4 linked regions of the Drosophila melanogaster genome follow. The protein of the gene in region 1 interacts with the protein of each later gene in a pairwise test. Each region holds a gene or a part of one and is shown in the gene's direction. Other genes may lie near its edges.

Region 1 (4,575 bases):
ATAGGGCTAGATCGACTCGGCTAGTGGCCCTGACCAAGAATACAGATACTTTATGTAGGCGCTTCCTTCTGACATTCTATTTTACACATTGATAAAGATATTGAAATTAAAAAAACATCAAACAAAATGTAGGCTTTAGAGTAGACGTGGCTAAATTATTGTTTAGCATATCGATAGAGACTCTACTAGTAAGTAGGTACGCAAGAAAAATCAAATATCATGAGTGCAAAATTTAATGGTTATATGCATTTGTTGCAGCCCAGACACTACGCTAAATAATATAAATTAAGGTATTTTCACACATTCCAGGAAAATCAGATTCGTCACCTTTACAATGCGCCATGAAATTTTTGGCACACGCAATAGGAATGACAAAAAGGCGATTCAAGAATATGCCCCTTTGAAGAAGCCCAGCACACTGGATGCCGGCACTACAATAATGGAAATTGTGGTGGAAGGGGAAATAGATTCGTTGATGCGTGTGACTTCAAAAATCCAAAAAACGTGTCGGACAGGATGTTGAGAGCAAGTAAGCTCAGTGGTGGCTTTTTGGGGTGGTTTAGGTTTTGAATGCTGTTACTTGGGGGTTTAATTTCTGTAAATAATAGATATCGAAAATGTAAATACAAGCAGAAGTAGCAGAACAGACAATTTATGTATTTACATATTTAATATTTTGTATAGATATACAACAAAAAATTTACAAATACTAAATACTCTTTAAAGTTAACAATACAAACTTCATCTCAAGCCCAAGTCACGCAGATCACGCTACAGGTAAGGCAAGGCATTTTGAACTCCTGATACTGTTTGACCTTCCTGAATACGTTTTTATTGCTGTTCAATTTTAAATTTAAATTAAAACTAATAAAATGCACTCATAGTTTTTATATGTGAATGTATTTTTGTATATTAACACAACCGACATCAGAAATATAATAATACTTAACGTAAAGATGGGGAATTGATACAGGGCAATAAATAACTAGTCGTTCTATACTTTTTTAAAACAAAGGTATGGCAAACGATTAGATTGTATGTTATTCAGAATGATCAGATTCTTAAACTTTTGGATACATGGTTATATAATCAAATATTTTAGGGATTAAGTGCATTAAACATGATAAAATATCATCACAACCAAACATATGCATACAATGATGAATAAGACTTACACATATACACAACCATCTATGTTTATATAAATTCAGTTTTATTTTCCAGCGTTATTATCGCTGAATCCATAATGTTAAAGTTGCCCACGATATATTTAACAACCAACCAAAACTTCAAAAAGATTTTCAAGCGGATAGGGTACACTTTTCTTTCTTCCATAGCCGTCTCTTTCCTACGCAACTCCTATTTGCCAGATGTGCGCACGATGGATTTTGTTGTAATGCCTCTCTTCCTCATGTCTCTATAGCTATCTCTTTTCACGGCACGGAAAACAGCAACGTTGTTAGCTATCGCTGACTGCAAATGAAAAGAGACAACTAGAGCAACGCCGCCAAAATGGCTGGCCGATGTGTTAGCCGTTGCTCTTGCCAGTGTTTTTTCGCATGAGAGCTCATTAACGTTTCGCTTGGCTAAGTGCGCACCTCGTCACTGAAACCAGTTAGCAAAAGAAATTTTTGTTCAAGCTTAAACCGATACCTACGTCACTATTCGATCATTTTGAATGCAAATTATTCCCAGATTAATAAACTAGGTCGCCATCCGTGGCGCTGCCGCCGGGCTGCGGACCCGTACTTTCGACGGAAAATATCGGGACCATTTTCATAAACGATCTATGATACAGTTTTAAAACACTTTAACGCTTTCCATCGTGCACACTTAAAACAAAACTCATAAAGTGAAAGTTCATATCCTGGCAAGTAAAAAGTGATAAATGTTAAAACGTCTGAAGTGATAGTCTGGAGTTTGATTACCAGGTGAAGAAGATAATATATATGGGATGTACAAAGTTGGCAACGAAGCCCCCCTTCTAACAACAATGAAAAAGGGAGTAATCCTACTTTCTCACTTTCAATAATAAACATACGCACGTCAGCCACCGTCGAAGTCTCCAACGCCGCATTAAAAATAATTAATTATGATGCTAACAACTGAACACATAATGCATGGGCATCCCCACTCGTCAGTCGGGCAGAGTACTCTATTTGGGTGCTCCACGGCGGGCCATAGCGGAATAAATCAGCTGGGCGGCGTATATGTTAATGGCCGGCCACTGCCCGATTCAACGCGTCAAAAAATTGTCGAATTGGCTCATTCCGGCGCACGTCCTTGTGATATTTCAAGAATACTACAAGTGTCCAACGGTTGCGTAAGCAAAATTTTGGGCAGGTGAGGCATTTCGAGTGCATAATGACATTTTCTTAACTAAACAGGAACTACGAAAGTAGCCTCCAACAAACAAACTGCTCAGCTAAAATTTCTGACTTCGGACTTTATTATATAAGCACTGCGTTTAAACCAGGGAGTGATATTAAATTTGGAAAATATGAAAGATTCGATTATTATACCCGTTACTCAAAGAGTCAAAAGGTATATTAGATTTGTTGAAAAGTATGCAACAGGAAGAAGGATGCGTTCCCGACCATATGAAGTATGTATATATTCCGTCTGTCCGTATGAATGTCTCGATCTCAGGAACTATAAAAGCTAGATGGTTGGAATTAGGCATACTGATTGTAGAGATATGGACGTAGCGCAAGTTTGTTGACCCATATTGCCAACACTTTTAAAAAAAGTGTTGATTTTTAATCGTTTTATTGTTTGTCTTCTATCGGTATACCAAAAACACTTTCGCCACACCCCTTCTTACACCAACAAAACGCAAAAAACGGATCCCAGAAAAATAACACAATTTTGCTTTCGTATTTAGTCGTATAGTCGGGGAATTCGACTATAGCATTCTCTCTGTTTTTGGTAAGTTAATGGCCTTACTAACGTTTCAGTAGTTTCTATATGCATAAGATCCGAATGCCTCCTAGTCTATTTCGTATCAACTAACCAATGATCGTAAGACTGCGTATGATTAAAGAGAACTTGCTTAGCATCTGTTTTGCGAGTAGCCAAATTTGTTTGTTGGAAGAACCTCTTTACGGCGTTATTGGTGTCCGTATTGCAAGTGCTGTCCATTGTACAACACTAACAAATACATTTCTCCCCTGGCTTCTAATTAATACTTATGTTATTTTGTTTAGCATATATTCTATATTCAATCCTATATGCCATTCGCAAAATATTTATATACCGGCTGCATTTAACTAATTTAATGTCTACAACTGAAAGTGTTGACTGTTGACGCTGAGGTTTGCTTATAGTTTTTATTATCTCGACGCTAAACATTTCGACGGCGTTTAGCATTGTCACCACTAATGAATCGCTGCGCTTTTCTTTTTACAAGTTGCAGCTCGCATTTACAAGCACTGCACTCCGAATTGTTTTTTTGTGCTCATCTAACATTTTGGAAAGAGGATTTTTCAATCAATACTAGAGGAATGTCCTTTTTTACTTTACTATAAGCACTGCTCTTCCCGAGAATATTTACGGCTTTCGACTACTAAGTTACATAATTGGAACTAATCAGATATTAGCAGTTCTATTATAAATACTTTAGAGTAAGAAAATCAATGATTTTCGTAATATGAAAATTTGAAATCAGGCCCCCATCCCAATCTCTCATTGTGTGACTCTGATTATTGAAACACATTCACCATTTATGATCATAATACATAAAAATCAAAATCATATCTTAAGAAGAACGTATTTTTAAATTCTCTGTTCTTTGCAAAATAAGAAAATATACAGCCAAATCTAAATTGATTGTATATTCATTGTTTATTCTATTATCTACTTTTAATGACTACTCAGATAAAATGTAAATAAGTTTATTTTTTTTAGATATTATGAAACTGGATCGATAAAACCTCGAGCTATAGGTGGTTCAAAGCCACGAGTAGCTACAACCCCGGTTGTGCAAAAAATTGCAGATTACAAACGGGAATGTCCCAGCATATTTGCGTGGGAAATACGAGATCGACTGCTATCGGAACAAGTTTGCAATAGTGATAACATTCCAAGTGTAAGTTATATTTTGCGCACATAATAATATTTCTGCACGTGCTAATAAAAGTTCTAACATACCATTTTAAGCGTTTTCGATCCTTAAAAATATATATGTATATTCATGATCAGGATCTAGGACCAGTCCGTACCTCTCTTTCTGTCTTACGTTAAAAATTTTAGAAGTTTAAAGCTGAAAGATTGTTTCAAACTAACTTTCTAATAGAGCCTTATAGCTTTAAGCTATTTATAGTTGTTTTCCTGTTCTCTTAAAAACTCTGATCTGACTAATAAAAGTTCTAACATACCATTTTAAGCGTTTTCGATCCTTAAAAATATATATGTATATTCATGATCAGGATGGATCTAGGACCAGTCTGTACCTCTCTTTCTGTCTTAAGTTAAAAATTTTAGAAGTTTAAAGCTGGAAGATTGTTTCAAACGAATTTTCTAATAGAGCCTTATAGCTTTAAGCTATTTATAGTTGTTTTCCTGTTCTCTTAAAAA
Region 2 (5,514 bases), on another chromosome or scaffold:
TGTTGGTGAAGTGAACATCGTTGCTGATTTGGTAGGTTACCTGCTCCTTCTCGTCCTCGCCCTCCGCCGGCTGCTCAGAATCGTCCTCTGAAAATGAATAAGTTGGTTAACAATCGAATTTCATAATGGGCCCACCCAGTTAATACATTAAACGTATAATAAATATGGTAATAAAAAATGGTTTTTTTTATTAGCCAATTGAAATAAATCCGTTGACTTATTCGTCCATTATTGAACTTTCAAAGGAAAACTAATTCCCGTTGATTACGTTTATCATGTCTGGCTCCACATTTACCCCTCACCCACTTTCAGTGGCATTCTACTGCCCACCTGGCATTGGACTCAATGGCACGGCATTGGCATGATTTCATTATCAAGGTGTTGACCTACGGAAATTAAGCGTCCAAGGAAAAACCTTCGAAATTCGTGCGCTCAAGGCTGGACCTTGGCGATGTCATTGCTCCCGCGCTGTTGGCCCCGTTGCCAATGTCAATGTGCCGATGGCATTGCCTTCGGCCAATGTCAATGTCGCTCCCAAAGCTATTGAAGCGGCGGAAGGTGTGCGCAGCCTCCAAGGTCGTTTCCGTAAACAAACTGGTTGCTTGGCAGGTACCAGCTGTTTCCCGGCGAATTGCTTGTAAACAAGCAAAGCCGGCAAGCGGCAAAACAGCTGTTAGCACTTATCGCCCTGCCGCGACTTTCGACTCATAGTTATCGAAGTGAATCATATGTGCTGACGTCATGCGCAGAAACCCGTTTTTATACCCTCTAATGCAGTACACTGATTTTACAATGCAGTTGGTATTTACTAACATGAATTATTGCTATCCTTCTGATTTTACGATTAATTCTGAATGCACTTTTTAGCAATATCGTAATATAAAAAATAATCCTATTTTTGTAATTGAATTTAAATTTTAAAAACTGTATGAATTTGTGATGCTTGAAAATTTTTCATACAAGTTGCTAGTGACATGGTAAGGTATTCCAGCTTCGACTTCCAAGCCAAAAAATATTTCTTATTGGAATTCAAACATCTGCCAAATTGATTTTTAAAAAACTGGTTGCGTATTCAGCTAGCAAACCCATAAATGACTCAATGTAACCATATGGAACTAATATTTTGAACTTATAACAAAAAGATTGCCTGAAAAGCTTGCCAACTTTCTTATCTTCGCCAAAAAGACGCCATTTTGTGCAGGTACCATTTTTTCACCCTAGATTTGCCAACGGGACAGGAATTCTTATTTTACCTTTAATGCAATTGCGTTGGACGTAAAGCGCCTGCACCTGGGGATCCGAGAGGAACTTCCGGATGGTGTCCTGGTTGACGGGATCGTCCAGAGCATCGTTCAGCGATGCGGGAACCACATCGTCCTCCGGCAGCAAAATGGTCACCGCCTTCCGAAGATAATTGGCAAATGCATCATAGTTCGCAATGGACAGGTTCACGATTGGATCCACCGATGTATCGGGGTTCTCCAAGGAGTCACCCATGTCCCACAAAGGTTTTCGGTATTAAATACTCCTCAAAAGGTGTACAATTTAATTTTTCACAATGCCTCGCCCTGTGAAAAATTACGTGAGTTTTTTTTTTCGCAAAATGTAAACGGCCCTGCCACTCAGTTGAAAATCGAAAGCAAAAAAGCCAGTGCTACCATAGTTGCGGCAGATATCAGAATACAGAACTGGGCGAAATGTTACCAGTCAGTCAGGAATGCTTCCCGCCAAAATTTCTTAGAGCAATTCCCATCCACGTGAGCGATGTGGCAACTCGATGCAGAGAAACAGCTGTTCGATTGTAGAGTGCAGTGGGTTCTTCCTATTTTGTTATTCAATAATTGTGAAATGTGCAATTCAATCAATTAAACCGGTATAATGCAAGCACTGAGAAGAACACGACCTTGGGGAGCTGTCTACTGGAATAGCTGGCGGCGCCTGCTAACCCAAAGCTGCACCCGGAATGATGTGGGTGCATAATATATCCGAGAAACGCAATAAGACCTTTGTTAAATTCCAGAATCCAGAGCTAACCAGTGATGTCAAGCACCGGATTGAGGCTCATTGGCGGGAGCAGCTCAGTGGAGGACAGTTCAATCCCAAGGACTCGCAGGACAAGTACTACGTGCTCTCCATGTTCCCGTATCCCTCCGGCAATCTTCACATGGGCCATGTGCGCGTCTATACCATAGCCGATTCGGTGGCTCGTTTCCAGCGAATGTGCGGCAAGAATGTGTTTCAGCCAATGGGTTGGGATTCCTTTGGGCTGCCCGCCGAGAACGCCGCCAATCAGCGTGGGGTGGAGCCCGCGTCCTGGACGGAGCAGAACATTGCCCAGATGAAGGAACAACTCAAGCGACTTGGTTGCTCCTTTGACTGGAACCATGAATTGTCCACCTGCAGTCCAAAATACTACAAGTGGACGCAGCATCTGTTCCTAATGCTCCATCGCCATGGATTGGCCTACCAGAACGAGGCTCTTGTTAACTGGGATCCCGTTGATAAGACCGTGCTCGCAGATGAGCAGGTGGACGCCAACGGCTGTTCCTGGCGGTCGGGCGCCAAGGTGGAAAAGAAGCTTTTGAGGCAGTGGTTTATCCGAACGAGTGCTTATGCCAAACAATTGCTAGACGGTTTGGAGGATCCCACGCTTCGCGACTGGAGGGATATTATTAACCTGCAGCGACACTGGATTGGAGAGTGTGATGGATACGCTTTCAACCTGCTCACCTCCGCCTCCGGACTTTTACGAGTGTGGACTACCCATCCGGAGCATTTAAAAGATCCCCATGCCTTTCTCGTGCTCCGCAGCAATCATCACTTGTCAAAGCTAAAGGGTGCGGACAGCCTAAGCGCAGCGAACCCGTTTGCGGGCACCACAATGCCTGTGGTCTTTAGCGACGAAGTGACATTTCCGCCAAAGAGCGATGTTTACCTGGCAGCCCCCAGCTTCCGTGGCGAAGACAAGGATTTGTGGGATTCATATGGACTGGCTTTTACTTCAAATGGCAAGGATGAGGAATCCCTAAGTCCAGCCAACTGGGAAATGTTAAGGAAAGAGGTGCTCCAGGCAGCCACACGCCTTAATGTTGGCGGCTATCGTGTATCCTCAAAGCTGAAGGATTGGTTGATATCACGACAGCGCTATTGGGGCACTCCCATTCCTATTGTACACTGTCAAAAGTGCGGAGCAGTGCCAGTGCCGGAGGAGCAGCTGCCAGTGTCTCTGCCTCCGAAGGATTCCCCGAAGGAAGCGTTTCTCTGTGATTGCCCAAAATGCGGTGAGAAGGATGCACGAAGGGAGACGGATACAATGGATACATTTGTGGACAGCTCTTGGTACTACTTGCGTTACTTGGACGCCCAAAATTCCGAACGCATTTTCGATACAGCGCTGACCAAGAAGTTTATGCCTGTGGATCTGTACATAGGAGGCAAGGAACATGCCGTGCTCCATCTTTACTACGCCCGCTTTATAAACCACTTCCTGCACAGTTGCGGGCTTTCGCCCACTAGCGAACCCTTTTCCCGGCTGCTAGTCCAGGGCATGGTGATGGGTCGCTCCTTCCGGGTGAAGGGCAGTGGACGTTATGTGCCCGAAACAGAAGTGGAGATTGTGAACGCCAAAAAGAACCAGGCGGTGCTAAAGGAAACCAAAGAGCCCGTGGTCATGACCTGGGAAAAGATGTCTAAGTCAAAGCTGAATGGGGTGGAGCCTAGCGACATGTTTAATGAGTATGGAACGGATACAACGAGACTGATCATATTGGCCGATGTGGCGCCCACATCCCACCGCAACTGGTCCAGTGCAAGTGAGTATTAAGTTGTATATGATATGATAGCCATTTGATATATCTGTGTATACGACAGCTTTTCCTGGCATCCTTAATTGGCAAAAGCGGCTTTGGCTGACCCTGCAGGACTTCCAACAGGCTCGCGAAGATCAAACTGCTTCGGATGTTGTACCCACCAGTGAAGAGTTCCTGGCTGAGGATGCCAAGCTGTTCGATGCGCGAAACTTTTATGTGAAAGGAGCCACCTTTAACTACCGCCATGCACAGCAACTCAGTGTGGCAATTTCCAAAATGCAGGGGCTAACGAATTCTCTCAGGGTAAGGCTTAAAACTAAATCCGTTTTCTAATCTCAGCTTATGCAAAAATATTTTAGCGCACACCTAAGCATGTCCTGCGACATGGAAAACAGTTTGAACGTGCGCTGGCTGCCCAGATCATCATGCTCGCGCCAATGGCTCCGCACTTTGCCTCCGAACTGTGGTCAAAGTTTGTGGCGATACCAGGCAGGCTAAATCCCGCCAGTCAGGAGTTACAGTGGAGCGAAGATGTGCTTGCTCAGCGCTGGCCAGACATCGACCCCGCCTACAATCTGGACCTTAGCATTAAAGTCAATGGATTTGAGAACTGTGTAATCAAAGTGCAGAGAACGCATCTGGATAAGGTAACGCACAGTGATGCTCTCGACATTGCCTTCAACACCGAATCGGTGACATCGTACCTAATTGACAAGAAAATTCGCACCACCAATTTTGTGCTTTACCCGGGAATCGAGGCTATTCTGAATATCTATGTGGATAAGGCGAAAATGAAGCAAAAGCCGCCGACCACCGATGATGCAGAAGCTCAGCCTCAGGCGTAGGATAAGGAAAAAGTATCGTGAAAGTGGATAGATAAAGTTGAGTAGTAAAAGTTTGGTTGCTACTTTTTAGGATATTCTTGCGATCATAGTTCTTAAGCCGAACGGATTACGGAGGAGAGTGGGTTCAACCTGCCCAAATGCATTTCCGGTGTTGGCCAGAAAGGCGCCATCCTAGATTGGTACTTTTTAATCATGTTTAATGTTAAATATTTATAAAAATTGGACTAGTTGTAAGCAGCTGCTTTACAGGATTGGTAAATGCCTAGAATCATAGGAATATAATGGTTGCTCTACCTGTGCGCCTCTATCTAAAAGCCAGATCGACTAATAATTTCATAAATTTTCATTTGTTGGAACGGCCTCTCACTTCAACAGCTCGCACATGAGATTCCGCAGGTAGACATCTAGCTGGGCGTAATCCAGCAGCGTATTTCGGACGATATCAAGAAGCATACTTGGCCAAAGAGTTTCCAGTTTATGCAGCTTCTCCACGGCGTTGCAAGTGTTCTCCAGCAGAAGGGCAAAGTGCTGGCGACCTCGATCTCGGACACTGGGCGCCATGGCAGTGCTTCCCGCTTCCGTCCCTTGATTTATATTCATTGAGGTGGAAGTTCCTGCTCCACCACCAGCGTTCTTCTTCCACTGGAGTGCCTCTTTTCCCACCACGAGTCGCAGGGACTTGTTGTCCGGCCGTAGGAGCCACTCTTTAGGAGACAGTTTGCTGGCCGTGCAGGTTTCATCCAGACGCAGTCTCGCCAAAAGCGGTTGCAGCATTACCTCGGGCATGGACCACAGAACCAGGTCAGAGAGTCCAACGTACATGGCATTCGCAGCCTCCACTTCCGCTTCGGTTACCTCCT
Region 3 (5,987 bases), on another chromosome or scaffold:
GGATCCGGCACCGGATAAATATTACCCTTGACCATATGCTGTTTTTCCTTGGTCAGCAGCAGATACTCTCCACGGAAAGGCACGATGCGGGGGTCTCTGGGGCATCCAGTCTTCTCAGCCAGCAGGTCGGATTGCAAACCGCCACAGGTTAATACGTTCTTGGTACGAACCGTTTGACCGGGCTTAGCGCCATGGATGGTCACTGGGTAGTCGGTGCCCTCCTTGGTCTCGGTAAACTTGCTGACATTGAAGTCCAGGTAGATATCACCACCGCACTGTTTGAAATCCTGACCATAATGCTCGGTAACCAATCCCCAGTCAACGATACCAGTGTGCGGACTGTGGAGCGCCATCACTCCCTGGCAGTAGGGTTCGATCTCCTGAATCTCGCTGCCTTCGATCATTCGCAGATCCGGTACGTTGTTGGCAATGCCACGCTTCTCCAAATCCTTCAGCAGCTTCACTTCTTTCTCATCCGTGGCCACAATTAGCTTCCCGGTTTTCTTGTACGGGATCTTTTTTTCATCCAGATAAGCGTAGGCCAAATGCATGCCCTCCACGCAAAGGCGGGCTTTCAGGGTTCCAGGCTTATAGTAGATGCCAGCATGGATGACGCCGGAGTTGTGGCCGCTCTGGTGCTTTGCCAGCTTGCACTCCTTCTCCAGGACAGCCACTTTGAGGGATGGATGGCGCAGGACAATCTCCCGGGCAGATGCGGCGCCGACGATGCCACCACCAACGACAACCAGATCATAATCTCTGAGGGAATACAAAACATATCAGCTAACAGCCTCAAAAATTAAATAAACTTAAGACTTCTAAAGTTTTTAAAAGTTAGAAAGATGTTTGTATATCCGTTAGAGTAAAGAGTGTGCGGGCACGTTTTTGATTAGGATCATCAGTCAAGTCGATCTAGCCATATCAATATGTTCATCGACTGTCAGACCGCAAGAACGTCGAGATCTTGGGAACTAATAAGTAAGATAAAGGCTGCAGATTGCAGTGAAAAGACTATGCTATGCAATTAAGAATACAAAAGTAAATAGAATATACATTGCTTAACTAAACATGATTTTAAAAGCGCATTCTAAATGAAAAGAAGCTTACTTAGCTCATTTGGAACACCTAAATGATATTCTGCAAACAGTGAAAAGATTCTTAGGATCGGAACACCCCCGAAAATGAGAGAACCCTATCGTAATCTCAAGAGACTTACCCGCAGCTCGACGAGCTGTGCTGCGATCTTTTGTGGGTCGCTGTGGATTCGTTGGGCGCGGCCACGCCCACATTGAGTAGGCTACGCCGAAGTCCCTGTACCAGCAGTCGCACCTGAGCCATTTCTCTTTCTTTTATGCTTTCACCACCCGCGCACGCACGTAGAATTTAGATTATTTACCAACCCGAAAAGAAAGACCTTGCTTGACCTTGCCTTCTCCTCCGCCAACTTGTGCGTACAGCGCGCTTTCGAGCGAATCGACAGACTGAAGCCCGTGGAAGTTTTCCGTGGGGCGAGAGAAAATAAATATGCTCACGGGCCGAGCATCTGGGCGATTTGTGGGGCCGAGGGGCGATCATAAACGCGCTAATTGATAAGTGTGACGGATTATTTTTGAAAGGGGGTGGTTGGGTAAGGACGTGTGTGTCAGCTGTTCGGTTTGTTGATAAGATTTAATGTGCCCAGCTGCCATTTTGCAAATTTTCTGTAATCTAACAATATTAAAATTTTTATTTCATTTTAAATATTTCAGGTTATACGATCATGCTGATTACTCGACTAAAAAGTATTTACAAGAAACAAACATATAATTTTAACCCTAAATTTGCTTTTATTCGATACGGAATCCCATTATATTTGGTCGTATTTGATAGCAAACACAAATGAATAAAGTTTCGTTATTAATTCAGAACTGCAAGAAAAAAGACCGCTATCAACAATATGTGAGACGCATTTTCCAACACTGAACACTTCAGAAGCAAAACAAAACCAGCTGATTTAGCAAACAACAGCTAGCTCACAGATGTAAACAACAGAAATTTGCAAATTATTACAAATTATTGTACCATAAATACCTTAAGATGCCCGCCCACTGCGCCGTGATAAATTGCAGCCATAAGTATGTGCACGCGGGCAGCATTTCATTTCACAGGTAAGTGAGTTGATTTTCAATTGACAAGATTACACTATAGCTTCTATTCTCCCAAAGATTTCCATTCAAACGGAAGGATCTTCTACAGAAATGGAAGGAATTTACCCAGAGGAGTGCTCAGTGGATGCCCTCAAAATGGAGTGCGCTGTGCAGTCGGCACTTTGGTGATGAGGACTTTAATTGCAGCAATAATCGGAAAACGCTTAAGAAAAATGCTGTGCCATCAATTAGGGTTTCGGAAGATGACTCCATGAGTGGGCACTTGGAACAGGTGTCCCCAAGCAATAGGCCAACGCACAAGCAAACTCTTTCTAGTGCCGCCGAATCAGCAGCAACAGGTGTTAAAGCCACTTGCCGCTTTTGTGGTTCCTCGGCCATCAATTGCTCCTCGTTTGACAAGAGTTTTGAGCTCTTTGGCATGATCCAGAAGTGCTTTCCTACGCTACAGATTCTTCAGGACGACACCTTGCCCAAGGAAATATGCCAGGAGTGCTGCCTCCAATTGGAGCGCTTTTCCCAGTTCATCGATGTGGTGATGTTGGCGCAGAGTGAATTGCAAAGAAAATACCGCCGACAACTGAAAATCAAACAGGAACCCTTGGTTCGTGTGAAACAGGAGGCCTGCGAGAGCTTGGACAATCTTTTTCCTGATGAACTGGACATGGGTTTGGAGCAGGACGATGGCTGCGATCAGGAAGAAACTGAACAAAAGTTTCAGTTCTGCGAGTTCCCTATGCTAAATGCCCAAGACATTATCAACAATTGTGATATCATGGAGATAATCAATCTGGACGATCCGTTTATCAATATTCCAGACGATGCGGATGTGGGACAGTCGGAGAGACTACAGCCTGGAAGAACGGCTAATGAAATGCTGCAAAACGAACTCCTAACCGAAGAGCACAATTATGCGAAGGAGGAGTGGCAACTACCCCCGCATCAGTACAAAACGGAAAAGGTGGAGGGAACGGATGCTGCGCCAGACGCAGCTCCTCCGCCTGCTGATCCCCCTCCTCTTCAGGATAATATAGACCCTCCCTCGGCCCCCGAACCGCGCTCATGCAAGCCCATTGTGACCAATGTAAGCCAGATACCTAACCCAATGATCTGCGAGCTGCTGCCACAGCCTGCTCCTCCCACGTCGATCAAACCCAACATCGTGGTACTTAACGATAGTGTGGTCGAATCCTCAGCGGCTTTTCGGCTTCACAACTGCACTTTGTGCACTGCCAAATTTATAACAATAGATAGCTTAAATCAGCATTATGCACACAGTCACAGTAATTCCACTCCCATGGTTAGTGTTCCTCCGATGAATATATGCCTTCCCAGCTTAACCATGAACCCTCCAATGAAAATGGAAAGCAACAGAGGTCTTGTGGCCACTGAACAATCCGAATACTGGCCGTTGGAGTGGCATAATAGTCCTGTATCCAAGCAACCTAGGAAAAAGATTGATATACTAGATATGCAGAGTAGTTTCCTGCATCACAAAGACCTTATACCGACAGCCACTCAACTGTCAGCACCCGCACCTGATCCTCAACTGGTTGCAGTGACTGCTAGCTACGCTAAACTGGCTAACAGGTATCGTAAGTTGCAGCTGAAATGCAAAAAACTGAAGTCACCAAGGAAGGTGCACAGAAAAACCTATGTGTGCCGGATGTGCAGGAAGGGATTTTCAAAGTTTAAGAACTTACACCACCACCGTCGTCAGAAAGCACACTTTGTAAAGTTAATACCCAATTTTTCAGGACGCTGTTCTGGTTGCCTAAAGTTTTTTCGATCCCGCTTGGGTCTTCGCCAGCATATGCGATACATATGTCAATCGTTGTCGCTCAAAAACCATCGGCGCCTTCAGAGCTTCAAGTGTCGCCACTGCCAGGCCATCGCCTTTGCCCACTGGCGCCTGTATCGTCGTCATGAACTCAATTGCAGGCCCAAAAAATCCAAAACTAAGGTGCAGACGGCAATGAATTCGAAAAAGAAAGTTACGCCCACCCAAGTATTTGAGTGTAATATTTGTAAAAAATCATTCGGTTCGCTCAACGGACTACGCCAGCATAACATCACCCACTCGACGGAGCGGCAACACAAGTGCGGCATCTGTGAGCGGGTCTTCAAGCGACGCAACGGATTGTCTCAACACATTAAGGGCTACCACCTGCAGCTCAAGCCGCATGAGTGTCCGGTTTGCCAGCATCGCTACGCCCTGAAATGCGATATGCTGAGGTGCAGGCATTCCCTGCGAAAAGGTCCAGCTGCCGGGGAGTAACAGGAAGCCCTGGAGATGACTCACGATTGGACAAGGAAATGGTATTTACTCAAGCAAATGCTATAATCTTGGAGGTAAAACCAATTTGTTTTCTAAAAAACAATGTGCGATAACACGCCACTACAATTTTCTTTCCACAGATGATCTGAATCTCGATGCACTAAATGCATTAAGCCTAGTCACTCTATGGGGTACTTAGTTGGTGGTCTTCCAGTACGGCACGCAAGGTGATGAAGGGTTCGCAGCGGGAATGAAATTGGCGCTAGTCAAGGTTACTTACAATAAGTAATTTAACCTAATTAAACCGACGCTTCATTGAGCAGGAACGAGGTTTCGCAAATCGGAACAACATTTTTGAAAAGGTTGAAAGGGGGAAAACTAAAGGCGATCTTAAATATTTTGTATTATATACATTTATTTATTTAAATTGCAGTATAAGTTTGTAGTAAACGTTCTCTAAAAGTACGTGTATTTTCTTGTGTATTCGTATTTAACGCATTAGTATTGCTTAAATCGCTAACTTTAAACGTGAAATACTGAATCGAAACTTATTGTTTTACTTTAGGCTGATCCAAGCAAAAAACTAAGATTGACTGCCAACATAGGATTAGTATATACAAAGAAGGTTGAATTTCACAAGTTTATTTGCTTAATATAACTATCAATTTTATTTTTAACAAAACTAAAACGAAGAACATAAAAATGGCACTAAAAGTACAAAATCATAAAGTAAAAAGCATACATTTTGGAGAACCCTCAAGGATAAACGTAATTCAACAATGAAATTTTGCGCAACACCAAACAATAAAGTAGTTCTTAATCTAAAACATTTTAAACTTAACTAAAGGTTAACTATAAATACGCTTTTGGTATGATCGTTATTAATGTACGTATGTATGCATATGTCCCTGGCTAGAGTGGCTCAGTTTGGTTGGTTTTAAAAAAATATATATTAGAAATTGAACGTTATATTTTGTTACTTGATAAGTTGTGATGGGTACTTCAAAGATCCAAAACAAACATTAGTCAAAGATAACATTCAATTCCCAAGATGTTTTTGCCAGCAAATCGAGTTTTTATATGTATGGGGCGATAAGTATGAATATAATTAGAGTATGTGATGCTTGAAAAATGCTTGTACGAAGCGTATCCTCTTCTCCCGGGATTAGTTCCACATTCGATTAACCTACGCCAGATAATTACTCGCTAGACTAAGGGCGAACCTAAGTCCTCTACTGGAAGATCGCTGCCCGCTGCTGGAACTGCTGACGCCGCTGGGCCCGCTCCTCCTCCTCTCGCCGGCGCTCCTCCTGCTCCGCCCGAATCTCGTCGTGGAACTTGTTCGTCCGCAGCTGTTGCTCAATTTTCGCCTCGAAGAAGTTCTTGGCTCCGCTCACTCCCACCTGCTCCACATCGACCTCCGTGAGGCGGGCCAGCTGATTCAGCCCAGAATCGGAGTCCAGTTCCCCGGCCTGGGCCTTCCTGAAGATCAGCAAGAACTCTCGGAATGAAATCTTGCCATCGTTATCCTCGTCCACCTCGGCAATCATCTGCTTGAGTCCCAG
Region 4 (4,970 bases), on another chromosome or scaffold:
ATCAGGATCCGGCGGTGGAGCGGGCAGCGGCCACCGCTGAGCTGCTGGCGCACCAGCTGGAGGAGAACGAGGCCAAGCGGAAGGCGGAAATTGAGCGGCAGAAGATCGCGGCGGCGGCCTGCGAGCAGCTGACGAAGCTGCAGCAGCAGCAGGAGATCATCAAGGCGACCACCTCGTACGATGGCTACTATGCGCAGAAAGCGCAATCCGAGGGCACCAGCCTGGATGCCCTGAAGATCGACCACGTCTAGGCAGCAGGATTGGCTTTACTTTACTAGCATATATGCATCATAACCTAGCCACATCCATATGTATCCACTTCCAATGCAGCTGACACTGTCCGGAAAAGTTGTAGGCATGCCTCGAATTGCTCTCTAGCTGGATCAGATTGTAGGTTTATAGGCACTCCAGATTATTCGAGTGCATATTACAATATGAACACTTCATACTTTTTACGTACTACGTTTATACATACATGCAATATATGTATTATTTTGTTTTCCGTGTAATATCTCCCGTGCTTACTTAGAGTAATGGATTAAAAGTAATATTCATAACGCCATTGGAGTTTCCATCTGGTGGGCGGGACTAAGAGACCACTTTGCAATACCAGTGATTTTTACAAATATATTTTAATAACAAAAAACAAATTTTTTAGCCCGCAAGAACATTAATCAAACCTTAATTTAATTAAAATAAGTCATTTTTAGCTGAAATCCATCTGGATGGTTATGCTGAATTTTATTTCATATATTCCGTTCTTTAAATTTAGACAAATAAAGATGATAATTGATTTTTAATCGAATATTAAGAAACATTTTGCTGAACGAAATGATGTGAAAGGGGGATTTTACTGGAAAAGTTTCTATTCTGCATCCACGTCGAAATCTTCGGATGACCCTTCATTGTCTGAAGGATTATTTGACTCCTAAAACAAATTGGTTAATCTTATGTAATACATCTTTAAAACTTAGTTGATGACTTAACTGTCCAGTTATTACCATCCGTCTGATTCAAATCCATCAAACTTGAGATAATTATCTTAGCTGCCTTCCTGTTTTTGTTGGCCTTCTTCAATGCTATACTCTGCTTCTCCAGGACCTCCTCCAACTCTGCGATCTCCAGTTTAAGCCTATTTCTTCTATTCCCGGCATGTTGCAGTGCCAGTTCAGTGTCCAATACCTTAACTTCAGCTTCGAGAGCTTTTACGGAATCCTTGTCTGGTTGTTGCTCCATTTTTTTTTGTATACTCTTACTCAGCATGACAAATAATAATAAAGCTGCTATAGAAACAATTGATACAACCATATTTATAGACATACCAACGATTTAAGGTATTTTGAAAATCCTTAAAAAATTTATATTTGTTTAAAAATGTATTTAATATTTAAACTAAGACATATGTATTTTTTATTTTAAATTCTCAGACTCTTTGTATTGTATTGATCTAGTGCTAGTATTGTGCTCGTAGCTGTCCGGCAGTCTCACTCGACTGTGTGACTTGACTACGAATACACACACTCGCTGGGTCTAATACGCCCATCGTACCCTCTCCGCTGCGCACATGCATGTGAATGGGAAAAACAAAACAAAACGCCTGAGTGTGGGTGGCGAGTGCTAGAGCTGCGCAGTTTTTCAGCGAGCGTACTCGTCGCTTGCGGGTAATCGATAACCCGAATTGCTGACGAGTGCACACACACACGCACACGCGAGTACACACAAATGTGTGTTGTATTGGATTTTTTTCTCGGCGAAAGAACATTTCGAATTGCTGTGGTTTTCGCGATTTCTGGCTTTCGGGATCGTCCAGCATCGAATTGAGTGTCCAAAATGAATGAGGAGAGCCAGTACTCCATACACACGGTGTGCCGCACCTGCCTGTCCACGGTGGACGACTCGGCGGCCTACGATCTGTTCCGAGTGCCCGGTCTGGCCAAAAAGCTGTGCGTGTGCACCTCCTTGTCCGTGGAGCAGGCGGATGGCTTTCCCAAGAACCTGTGCAATGTCTGCTTCTCCAAGCTGAACGACCTGCACGACTTTCAGAAGCAGTGCGTCGATTCCGTTCAAAAGTTCCAAGATCTGGTGGCCAGCAACGCGTTCGCCTGCCAAACAAACTTCGATGTTCTGGACACCAGTGCCGCTGTGGCGGATCTGCCGGGCGAGGAAGAGGACAACGTGCACTTCGATCCGCTGCTCAACTCCAAGATCGAGATCATTGAGAACGAGGAGGACGTCTTCAAGATGCTCGAGTCCGTCGAAAAGGAGGTCGAAGAGGTGGAGATGGAGATGGAACAGCCGTTTGGCCGAGTATCTCAGGATGACTCCTTCGAGAGCGGCAACGACAACGACCTCGACGCAGACTTCCAAATCAGTAGTGACGACGACATTCCACTGGCCCAGCGCAGCCGGCGTGGAGCCACTCGTGGTTCCAAGGCGAAGGGCAAGCCGAAGTCGGCTGCCAAGCGACAGGAGGAGGAATCCGAGGAGTCCGAGGAGACCAGCTCATCAGACGACTCCGATGGCAATCCGAAGGACAAGCCCAAACGCAAGAGGATTCCTGCTACGGAGCGGGATCGCCACCGCCTGATTGACTGCCACATCTGCCACCAGAAGTTCAAGAAGGCGATTCGCTACGAGGAGCACATGAAGCATCACAACGACTTGCTACCCTTCCAGTGCACCGTCGAGAGTTGCCGAAAAGGTAAACTCCGCCCGCAGATCCTCGAGAAGTAGATTTATGTGATTATTTTTCCAATTTCAGGCTTTACCACCGCCAATGGACTGCGCGTCCATGTGGAGCACGCCCACACGGAGACATCGGCTATGCATCCGTGCACCTACGAGGGCTGCAACAAGTCCTTTGCCCGGCCCGTGCTGCTCAGCTTCCACATGAAACGCGTGCACAAGGTGGACACCCCGCAGAGGGACTTCCCCTGCACGGAGTGCGAGAAGGTCTTCCGCTGCCCCACTGCCCTCAAGAAGCACATGTACAAGCACACGGGCGAGGAGCTGCCCTTCGCATGTGAAATTTGCGGCAAGCGCTTCCCCATCAATAGTGTGCTGCGCGACCATCTGCTGCGCCATGCGGGCATCAAGAACCATGTGTGCCCGTACTGCGGAGTGGGCAAGACGACGCGCCAGGAGTGGAACAAGCACATCCTTACCCACACGAAGGAGAAGAAGTACGAGTGCCGGCAGTGCGACCACGCCTCCCACAACAAACAGGCGCTGGCCAACCACGTGAAGGTGGTGCACGAGAAGCGCAAGGACTTTGCCTGCCAGTACTGCGGAAAGACCTTTGGCAAGTCGCACGCCTGCAAGATTCACGAGAGAAGTCATACCGGCGAAAAGTGCTGCGAGTGCAAGATCTGCGGCAAGGTGTTCCTCTTCGAGAAGGGCCTAACCAAGCATTTGAAGACGCACGAGAAGCGTGATTTGCCCAAGACGCAGGGGACCAATGCCTTAATGGGCGACGGGGCCAGTGGATCCTCGACAATAGCCAAGCCCAGTCCGCACCTGCGTGGTCGCGTCGAGCGGGTGGACATTGCTCAGTTGGCGGGAACGGTGGCCAATCCAATTCCATCGGTCAACCTGCCCTCGTGGTCGCCGCAAGTGAACTTCACCAAGAAGGAGGGCCAGCATATCTGCCCGGACTGCGGCAAGGGCTTCAATCACGTGAGCAACATGAAGCTGCACTACAAGGTGGTGCATCAAAAGGTCAAAGACTTCTGCTGCCGCTTCTGCCCGAAGAGATTCGCCAAGAAGCAGTACCTGCGGCACCACGAGTACATACACACTGGCGAAAAGCCTTACGAGTGCAAGGTGTGCGGCAAGCATTTCCGGCAGGAGCAGGTGCTCAAGACGCATATGAAGGTGCACGACAAGCCGCCCCGTCCGCCTGGCAAGCCCAAGGAGCCGGCTGGACCCAAGGCGGAGTCCAGCACCGCGGTGAAGCGCCAGCAGCCGAAGAATTTCGAGCAATACCAGGATCCGGCGGCGGAAAGGGCAGCGGCCACCGCCGAGCTGCTGGCCTACCAGATCGAGGAGAACGAGGCCAAGCGCAAGGCGGAGGCGGAGCTCCGGAAGATCCAGGAGGCTGCCTTCGAGCAGCTAAACAAGCTGCAGAAGCAGTCGAACACTTACGACGGCTTCTACGCGCAGAAGGCGGAGGCGGAGGGCACCTCAGTGGACGCACTGAAGTTGGATCATGTTTGAGCGGCAGAATCAAACGGAAATGCTTGCGAGCAAACCCGGCCTCCGTTTCCGATCATTTCATTATGTGTTTCTATGAAGGACATATGAGTTATAGTTCTCTAAGGATTACCAACTAGTTTTCGTCACTTTGCAATTTGATCTTTTTTGTATTTAAATCCCCCCTTTAAACTGCTTAAGTTTGTACTTTACTAATTGTATTCATTTAACAATGATTTAATATAATAAACAGTAATAAGTATTGAACATTTGAATTTTAAATTCGCCCCAGTGCTGGTAAGCGGGTATTGTTGGTAAACAAGACAGAGGTGAGCTGTAATGCTGCCAACTCGTCTGTTTTTTAGCTACATTCCACTAGCTATGCAACTTATATGAGACACATATAAAACTACGTATTTAATTTAGGTTAATACATACATTTATTAAGAATCACACTTAAAATGGCACATATTTTTTAAAACATTTGAAATTTGTTATTGATGCTATCCATATTTCTAGCCGGTTTAATAATTTAGCTATTAAATAACTGTTTGTACTTGGCATCACTGTGGGGTATTTTTTGGTATTTGTTTTGGTTCGTCTGACGCGTAAAGTTTTTCTCGGCTTAATATTCCGCGGATTTGGCCAGCAGATTCCCCCTGGAACAGGCATCATGCAGGAGGAGGCCGAGGCAGCCCAGTACTCGGTGCACGCGGTGTGCCGCATCTGCCTGAATCGCCTGCCGGAGAATGGCGGCGGCGCAGGATCCTTTGACCTGT

What was found.
Region 2: the proteins of toy (region 1) and LeuRS-m interact in a two-hybrid assay, tested with the Drosophila melanogaster proteins (one large-scale study listed by BioGRID).
Region 3: the proteins of toy (region 1) and CG10431 interact in a two-hybrid assay, tested with the Drosophila melanogaster proteins (one large-scale study listed by BioGRID).
Region 4: the proteins of toy (region 1) and D19B interact in a two-hybrid assay, tested with the Drosophila melanogaster proteins (one large-scale study listed by BioGRID).

The regions. Positions count from the first base shown.
Region 1 is NC_004353.4:988,160-992,734, forward strand, and holds the start of toy (twin of eyeless), read left to right. Parts: upstream 1-1,565; 5' UTR 1,566-2,092; coding exon 2,093-2,343; intron 2,344-3,906; coding exon 3,907-4,087; intron 4,088-4,575.
Region 2 is NT_037436.4:4,824,075-4,829,588, forward strand, and holds LeuRS-m (Leucyl-tRNA synthetase, mitochondrial), read left to right. Parts: upstream 1-1,778; 5' UTR 1,779-1,878; coding exon 1,879-1,968; intron 1,969-2,020; coding exon 2,021-3,812; intron 3,813-3,870; coding exon 3,871-4,112; intron 4,113-4,168; coding exon 4,169-4,654; 3' UTR 4,655-4,964; downstream 4,965-5,514. Other genes in the region: Dhc64C (dynein heavy chain 64C), read right to left, coding at 1-87, 1,254-1,497; CG13708 (uncharacterized protein), read right to left, coding at 5,018-5,514.
Region 3 is NT_033779.5:18,972,701-18,978,687, forward strand, and holds CG10431 (uncharacterized protein), read left to right. Parts: upstream 1-2,009; 5' UTR 2,010-2,076; coding exon 2,077-2,147; intron 2,148-2,204; coding exon 2,205-4,422; 3' UTR 4,423-4,496; intron 4,497-4,562; 3' UTR 4,563-5,487; downstream 5,488-5,987. Other genes in the region: L2HGDH (L-2-hydroxyglutarate dehydrogenase), read right to left, coding at 1-759, 1,217-1,338; Swip-1 (Swiprosin-1), read right to left, coding at 5,655-5,987.
Region 4 is NT_037436.4:6,181,662-6,186,631, reverse strand, and holds D19B (D19B), read left to right. Parts: upstream 1-1,711; 5' UTR 1,712-1,830; coding exon 1,831-2,701; intron 2,702-2,761; coding exon 2,762-4,215; 3' UTR 4,216-4,456; downstream 4,457-4,970. Other genes in the region: D19A, read left to right, coding at 1-251; CG43293 (uncharacterized protein), read right to left, coding at 866-928, 988-1,236; CG10274 (uncharacterized protein), read left to right, coding at 4,865-4,970.